Coturnix japonica: one gene and its partner. The main gene of each other region encodes a partner of the protein of the gene in region 2 in a complex. Links are inferred from orthologs where the notes say so. Each region holds a gene or a part of one and is shown on either strand. Other genes may lie near its edges.

Region 1 (3,646 bases), on a different chromosome or scaffold from region 2:
TTTAATGGATGAAAGGACAAATTCATTTTTAACATACTGCTTTGCAGTCATTTATCATGTTGATGTATTCAAATATATCCTATACAGAAATTAAAGCATATTTACCGATTTTAAGATTTCTGATCTTCTTTTAGATTGGAGAACATTGATCTAAAAAAAATAAAATCAAATCAAAAGTTGCTGATTTTCTCTCACAGAGATAAACTTCAGATTACTGCCAAATAAACATATCAAAGCTTAAGACATCAAATATGTGATTTCACGTGGCGCTTCTAGAACTGCAGAAGCTGTATGAGAGTTTTTTAATGATTCTGAAGTGATGCAATCATAGAAAGCTTGCAACCCTTGATTTCTACAGTGATAGTCACAACTTTCCTGGGCAAGAAGAGAAAATTAAGACAGCACCCATTATCTAGAAGGAATACAATAAACCTCTGAAACAAGGAAAATTTGTACTCGTTTTCAAGAAACTGAATCGAACATTTCAAATCCTTTTTTTTGACAGCATGAGCTCATCCTGCTCACCAACCCCTCAAACACGCTGCTGGCAGCATCACTGCCTTCTGCGTCTAGAGACAAAGAATGGACTGGGCCACGCTTATTTTTCCCTTCAGCTGATGCTTTCTAAAGTGTTCCAAAACTGGGATACACCCCCAGCTACTGAAACAAGCAAGGTCACAATAACTTCAGTCACATTTTGCATACATTTGTACTTTTAAGCTGGCTGAAGTAACTAGCCAATGGTGTTGCCCCACAGCTTGGGATATTTCACTTTATATAGATAAAAGGATGGATTTAATTTTTGACATTCACTTAATTTTATCTTCTTTGTCTCCTAATCCTCAAAGCTGTCATCCAGACCTGCCTTGGCTTTAAAGGCTGCATACAATGGGAAGAAAAAATGTGTAATTTTGTAATTCAGCACCTCCGTATCAGTTCAAAGATTCCAGCAGCAGGAAAGCTTTACTGAAGCTATAATCAAAACCAGACTGTCATTCTACACCAAAACCAGAACGTAGTTCTATAGTTCCACAGTTTGTATTGTAGAAAACTGTCTGCAGTGAAAATAATTAAATTCATACAGAACAACCCCCCAGCTCAAGGGATAAAATAGGAAAGCAAGGGATTTGAAATGCAGTTCAAAGTCAATACAGCTGCAAAGAGGCTGTTATTGTGAAGCCTCTCTTCCAGCAGAAAAGAGTCATCCAAGCAGAAGGGATTCCTAAGGGTGAATTCATTTTTCGCCTGCATTAATTAAGAGATGCTGAAACTTTGCCTTGCTACTATAAAGGCACCTTTATCATAGGAACTGTACGATGTTAGAACATACAAATTCCAAAAGACAAATGAGCTGTAGGTCAATGGGCACAAGGACCCAGTCTACAGCAACGGCTGCCAATCTCCCCACACCCCTCCTGTAGGTTACACTGCCACACCAGAACCATTTGTGTCACTTGTATTTGCTAGGCTAGGCTACAGTTTATATTTTAATTATTTAAGGAACTACAGCATAGCAAACTTACAAAATACATTTAGGTCAGAAGTGTCAAGTTTGAAAAGACAGCATTATTGCTGCACTGACCTGAAGAACATAATCCAGAGCTATGTGCCGAAAACATTTCCGTGTTGCAGTCAAAATATTGGTTGCTTCCTCTACTTCATGTTGTTTATTTCTTTGAACTTGGGCATTTTTCACTAGAGCGTTCTCCTTTTCTTCGCTAACTTTTTCAAACTGCTTCTTTGCATCTTTGAATTTCTTAATATCTCTGCAACAAAGGAAAGATAGACGGCAAATGAATTCCAAAGCACAAAGGAAGTGTTTAAAGATTCACTAAGCAGCCTGTGTTATGTCTGTTATAGCGTGTGTTAGGCTGTTATAGCTTGTTTCTTTGCTTTCACATTCTCAACAAATGCTGAGATCAAATAAAGAAATCAAAGTCTCACTGCAGCCTCTCTGTCCTCTTACAAGGAACGGAAAAAGTTGGAATTTACATCAATGAATCTCACGCTCAGTGGGAAAAGCTTTAGTAAGCACTTTTATTCCAAACCTGGAGAATGACACCAAGTAATTTATGGTTAGTACTTTCAACTATTTCCATTGAAACATTTCTGCAGCTGAAACAAAAGCCTCTCAGATTTTGAGTGATGTCTGATAAACTCATATACGCTCTTCTCAACTTATTGCTGGTGAGATGTTTCACCCACTCACTCATATCAGATGCTTTTAATTCAGTTTTATCTATGCTTTTCCCATAACAAGTGCAAATTTACTTACTCTTTAACAAAAGTCTGAAGCTGTGCCTTAATTGATCTTTGCGTCTGGTCAAACAGGATCTGAAAGAAAAGCATTAACACATACTTCAGTAACTTCAGGATATTCACTTTTCATTTTTGAGATGCACATCAACAGTGTTTATGAATCCCTACATCCTGTAATGGAATTGCATTCACCAAAGCAATACAGAAAAATCTAGCAAATGATGTCAGAACAGACACGTACCTCATGTTCCAGCCTGTTCTGATGGCACCTGGACTCAAGTCCAAGCGCAGTGAGGATGGCATTACAATCTCTTCACACAGGCTCACTAACCCAACTTAGCTTTGACCCACATTATAACTCAAATACGGTTTTTGTCTTTTAAAGATGACTGGCAGTCCCTGTATTGCTGCTATGCTGAGCTTTATGCTTGATTGTGACATCCTGATTAAGTCAAAAGAATACAGAGAAGTGGCTGTCCAACTGAACACAACCTGTTCCAAAATGTAAAGATTTAAGTGTGAAATAATCTTACTGAAAGAACAAGTCACAAATTCAGTTTGAGTCTTAGTCTCCCTATACACTAGACCTAGGAATAAAAACAAACAAACAAAATCAACCATGCAGTACCAAGTACCGCAGAGCAATCCCCTTAGCAGCTTGTTTGTTCCTCCTTTAAGAAAACACTGAAGGAAGGAAAACACAACCGAGTCCAAGCTCACATTGACAGTGGTACTACATCCACTATTTCATCTCCATTTTTGATAGTTTTCAAGACAAAACAGGACAGAAACACTCAGCCTGACCCAACCTCACGGTTGACCCCATTTGAGGCAGGCAGACAGACCAGCATCTCCCGAGGCCTCATCCAACCTGAATCTAACAGTAAGACAAGGAGCATCCAGAAAACGCTGTTTGTATTTTCCCATTGGAAAAAGCAAAATACCAGATAACTAGAACAGATAAAGCACTTCTTTACAAGCTGGAAATCACAGTGGGACTACTCCCACAGCTGACATTTAAGTGTGCCAGAGCCTGAGGATTGCACCAATCAAGATCAATACACAACGAACACAACCAGATGGCAACTCCACCGATGACTGGACTCCCAGAAGCATAAGCCTTGCAATTCTACTTACAGTAATGAGGAAGCAGGAGGAAAAAAATGTTAGGGGAAAAATTAAAAAAAAAAGAAGCATGTTTTTCCTCAAATGAACAGAAAACACAGCCCAGACCATCATTTCACCAGACTTACAGCCTTCCCAACACGTTACCTTTCACTCCAAATTTGAGAAAGCTGCTGTTTGCTACAAGCTGTTAAAGCTACTGTGCCACCGCCAAATCTGCACACGTCACATCAGTCTGGGTCTCAGCCTTTTTTGTAGCAAA
Region 2 (4,321 bases):
TTTTATTCCCCACAACTGACTGTAATAACGTCTTTGAACTGTCAAGCAGCTGCCTCTGAGTGACAGCTGAACTGTGTGTATTTCAAGAAGATCACAAATGAAAGCGCGATGTTTTATCTTACAAGGTGTTAAAAAAATTCGGAGGAAAAGAGACAGATGTGAAAACAAAACATTCGATAGTTTTTAAAGGTAAGTCACCCAGTTGCATACAGTGTTTTATTTGGCAAAATGACCCCTTTCTTACGCTTTCTACATGGGCTTTCATAAGCTTAAAAATAATGGTAGAAGGAGACACAGGTTATCGTGACATGGGGGGATGTGTTATTTGATGGGCTGCTAAAATGCTGTATAGATAAGATAGACAGGAGATGTTGCCTTTGACCTGGATTGGGCTTGGACTAGCTGCAAACCCTTCTCCAACAGTGTTTCTGTGGGTATCAAAGCAGAACTGCACACGCTTGTGTCTGGTAGCACTCCAGCCTGGGTGTGGTGTGTTACACATGTGAACTGTAAAGTCCATTGCATAGGATCATGACATGGAGGTGGTGCAAATGGATTTCAGGATGAGGACGTGACAGGGCTGAGCTCTGAAGGCCAGAACACTTTTCTGTAGGTTAAGATCAAGGAATGTTCCTAACTAAAAGCATAGTTGTGTTTTCAATCAGAAGTATTCTATTAGGCAACGCCTACAGATGCCATTCACCCTACAGATGCTATTGACCCTAGAGATGCTATTCACTCTAGAGATGCTATTTTAGCCATACTGGCTTGGTTTGTTTTCAGATGCATCTACCCAGAAGAATCTGCAGCTTTTTAGTCACCAAAAGCTGCAGGTACATCCTGAGGGTCTTTGTAGGCTCAGCTGATGGCAAAGATTGTGTTCTTTCAGAGCTGATCCAGCTCTCACTTGGAAGCCCAGTGCATGCTAATGAGATGCTTCTGTCAGTGAGCTGTAAAGCTGATGTTTCTAATGTTACACATATTTTAATTAAACGGAGTCATTATTTTGGTTCGAACTTCTGCTAAACACGAATTGGCGGAGGAATTATTTTGAAGGACTTGTGTTGTCTGTTGTCGCTTATTTTTGAGCTGAAAAATAACGAAGTCCTGAATAACGGAGTCCAAACACCAACACAAAGAAACGCTCCTGTGGAAAAGAAACCACAGAGAGACCAGCGCACCTCTGGTCAGCATCCACCTAAGTGACAGCGCCCTTCCTTACCCCAATCATAAGCAGATCTCTGCATTAAACCCCCAAGAGTCGAACCCCAGGTTGAAGATGCCGCCGGTCCTGGCTTTTTCTTATCACTTCTCCTTGGACTCAGGCTGGGCGCTCACTCCCCTCCCGGCGCTGTCATGGCGTCCTGAGGAGAACCAGCGGCACCGCCCCGCCCCACCCAGCTCAGGGAAAGCGCGCATGCGCAGCTCAAAGCCGCGTTGGGCGGGCTGCGCGCACGCGCCGCAGGGAGAGACGTTGCGCATGCGCGGCGGCGTGCCGGCGCAGCTGGAGGCCTACGGCGGCGCTCAGACGCATGCGCGGTTGTGCCGCTGTCAGTTCCGGCTGTTTGTTCGGGAAGTGGATCCGGGCCCGCCGCCGTCCCCTCCCCCTCCTCCCTCCCGCCGCGCTCCCGCCGCTCCCGGCCATGGCCCGGGATTACGACCACCTCTTCAAGCTGCTCATCATCGGCGACAGCGGTGAGGGCTCGCGGCCCGACCCTCCCCGGCCTTTAGGCACTGAGGGGCGGGGGCTGCGCGGCGCGGCGGGGCCTGAGGGGGGCGGCGGGGCCGGGCTGGGCCCGGCGGGGTGTGTGTGTATGTGTGTGTATGTGTGTATATGTGTGTGTGTGTGTGTATGTGTGTATGTGTGTGTGTATGTGGGTGTATGTGTGGGGGGGTTGGGGCTGTGTCACCCTGTGGGGACCGCAGCGCTGTGCGGGATGCTGCGGTGAGCGGCACAGCCACAGCCAAGGGTGGGTGACATCGGTGTGTGTGGGGCGCAGGATGGTCGCTGTCGGGATGGGAGGGAGTTCCCTCCTGAGGTGGCCGAGATAAAGGCCCCGGCAGTGTTGCTTGCACTGCAGCAGTCGCCGCTTTCTCTTCGCTGTTAATTCTTCGTTATTAACCGAGCCGTCCCTCGGGACTGCCTGAAATCTCAGTTCTGGAGTTCGACGTTTCTTTAAATCCTTGATGAGATCGAAGCGTTTGTAGTCCTGGTATGTGTGTAAATACCTGGGAGAGCTGCAGAGAAAGGGTCGTTACACGTTTTGGAAATAAACCATTGAATGATTCTACAGCACTTTCAGAAACTTCTGGAGGGCCGGCGGTGAGCTCAGGTTGTGCCCAGTGCTTTGGACTAGGATGTGGGGCTGGGAGATCCATCCCACCCTCGGTCCCATTCAGTGCTGGTAACCCTCCAGCAGCTCACAGTTACATTTCCATAAGCCGGAGTAGATGGCATCCACCCTCTTCTTTTAATAGAGGTGTGGTCCATAAGGCAGCAGGTCCCAGCACGCAGCGTTGCTCGCTCTTGGCAGTTGTCATCTCCAGAAGCTTTTGCTGTATGTAAAAATATTTTATTCTATGCTAAACTGTGTCTGCAAGAAGGAAAAGGCTGTTTTTAAGACGGGAATGGGAAGAAAGGCTGAGAGCTTCAGAACAGCTTAAAACCCTGGGCACTTCTGAGAGCTCGTGGATTATTAAAACCAAATGCTGCTTTCTGAGTAAAGCAGTAACGCTGCTGCTTGCTGATGAGTTCCAAACTGTTCAGGCAAGATAAACAGGATGGTGAAAACTCTGAGGAAGGCTTCCACTTGTCTTGAACAATTAAATGGAACGTCTGAGCTGAGTCATACTGTGCAGAGTCCTTGTGCTGCATCCAGAGAGGAGAAAAGTGCTGTAAGAACGGTCTGGCTGTATGAGGTTCTCTTTTGCTGTAATTAAATCTCACTGTGTAATCTGGAGATTGATTTTCCTTTTTCTTTTTTTTTTGCTTACCACAACAGTAATGCTTTGTCCCTGCTTCCACACATCAATCTGTTCGCCTTGTTTGTTGCTGTTCAGAAAGGCCTTGTAATAGGAAGTGGACTGATATCTGGGTGAATGATAGTGTTTCATCCACTTTCCTCTGTAAGCAAATTTGTCCAGGGTAGTAGGTTTGTGTGTTTTTAGATCACGTCGTCTGGAGAAGCTGCTGTTAATCTCAGTTGTTCCAAACGTTTAAAAATAACCCGGATGATCAGTGCTTTGTGTGTGTGTCACTTCATTTGTGCTTTTTAATTTGCTTCACTGCTCAGTAAGATACGGGTTTTAGAAACCAACAGGGCTCAGAAATTTGCTTTTAATGTTGATTTTGCCAAGTCAGTAGGCTGTTTGTGTTTTGTTTCATTTGACTGTCTGCAGCAAGACAGGAGCCCTGTTATCCTTCTCCCTTCAGATCTTCAAATAACTCTATGTAGGAAGCAGAGGATGAAGAAGAGTGTGGTTTCTCAGCACTTGCAGCATGCGGGTCAGGGGCAGCGTATGTTCAGTGTGATCGTTGTCATCTGGAGCTTAAGGAACTTGCTGAGCTCGGGAGGCTTCTCTTCTTTGGAAGCCAGCTGAGAGCTGTGCATGAGGTTGAGTCTCTACTGCAGTGCACGGGCTGACGGAGCAGTGGTCATGTGCAGCCCATGCAGCTCTGCAGCATAGCTTGGGGCTGGCTGGCCTCTTCATAAAGTGCTGTGGTCTGACATGTCTGTGGGTTCCAGCGTCTATTTTCTTTTTATTAAGCTGGAGGCGAAGGCGGTTTGATGAGAGAGCAGGGTACTTGCTGAAGACTTGTATTTTCTTCTTCTTTAAGCTGACTGGCACTTTGCATGGGATTAGCTCTTCCTAAAGAACTAGTGTGTTATTAAAGTTTGGGAGCTGCTCTGCTGCCTTTTTTGAGCTCTGAGACATATCTTCAATATATATGTGCTATGTCTGTGGGTTTTTTTCCCCCTCTCCTTAATGAGAAATGAGTAAACCATCTCTGAATGTATGGTGACTTAAAGTGCTGTTGAGATCTGGTTTACTGGTATAATGCTGGTTTTGGTTGTGGTTTTTTATTTTTTATTTTATTTTTTATTTATTATTATTTTTTCCCTTGGATTTTGTTCCATTTTTTTGCTGACATCTATCTTCAGATGTGAACAGAGAAGAAATATTCGTAGGAGCTTAAAGTGCTTTGGGCTGGAGGGGACCTTTAAGACCATCCAGTTCCAACCCCCTGCTATAGTCAGGGACTGAGCAGGTTGCTCACAGCCCCATGCAACCTGGCCTTGAGTGCTTCCAGGGCCTCAAG

What was found. Proteins that work in one complex are often made in the same cells at the same time.
Region 1: the proteins of RAB35 (region 2) and ACAP2 are in contact, whole or in part, in a crystal structure (PDB 6IF3), measured with the Homo sapiens proteins. The link is inferred for Coturnix japonica from reciprocal best matches to the Homo sapiens genes RAB35 and ACAP2. Residues at the interface, in NP_006852.1 of Homo sapiens: Arg3, Asp4, Tyr5, Leu8, Ile41, Gly42, Val43, Asp44, Phe45, Ile47, Lys58, Gln60, Trp62, Phe70, Arg71, Thr72, Ile73, Thr76, Arg79; in NP_036419.3 of Homo sapiens: Val715, Ala718, Asn719, Ala720, Asp721, Val723, Thr724, Arg727, Leu728, Arg730, Met731, Glu734, Met735, Ser738, Glu748, Thr749, Gln751, Arg755, Asp756, Gln759, Met760.

Annotation. Positions count from the first base shown.
Region 1 is NC_029524.1:10,923,472-10,927,117, reverse strand, and holds part of ACAP2 (arf-GAP with coiled-coil, ANK repeat and PH domain-containing protein 2), read right to left. Parts: intron 2,335-3,646; coding exon 2,276-2,334; intron 1,767-2,275; coding exon 1,583-1,766; intron 151-1,582; coding exon 106-150; intron 1-105. UniProt on the Homo sapiens protein: GTPase-activating protein (GAP) for ADP ribosylation factor 6 (ARF6). Doesn't show GAP activity for RAB35.
Region 2 is NC_029530.1:8,409,413-8,413,733, forward strand, and holds the start of RAB35 (ras-related protein Rab-35), read left to right. Parts: upstream 1-1,477; 5' UTR 1,478-1,532; coding exon 1,533-1,695; intron 1,696-4,321. UniProt on the Homo sapiens protein: The small GTPases Rab are key regulators of intracellular membrane trafficking, from the formation of transport vesicles to their fusion with membranes.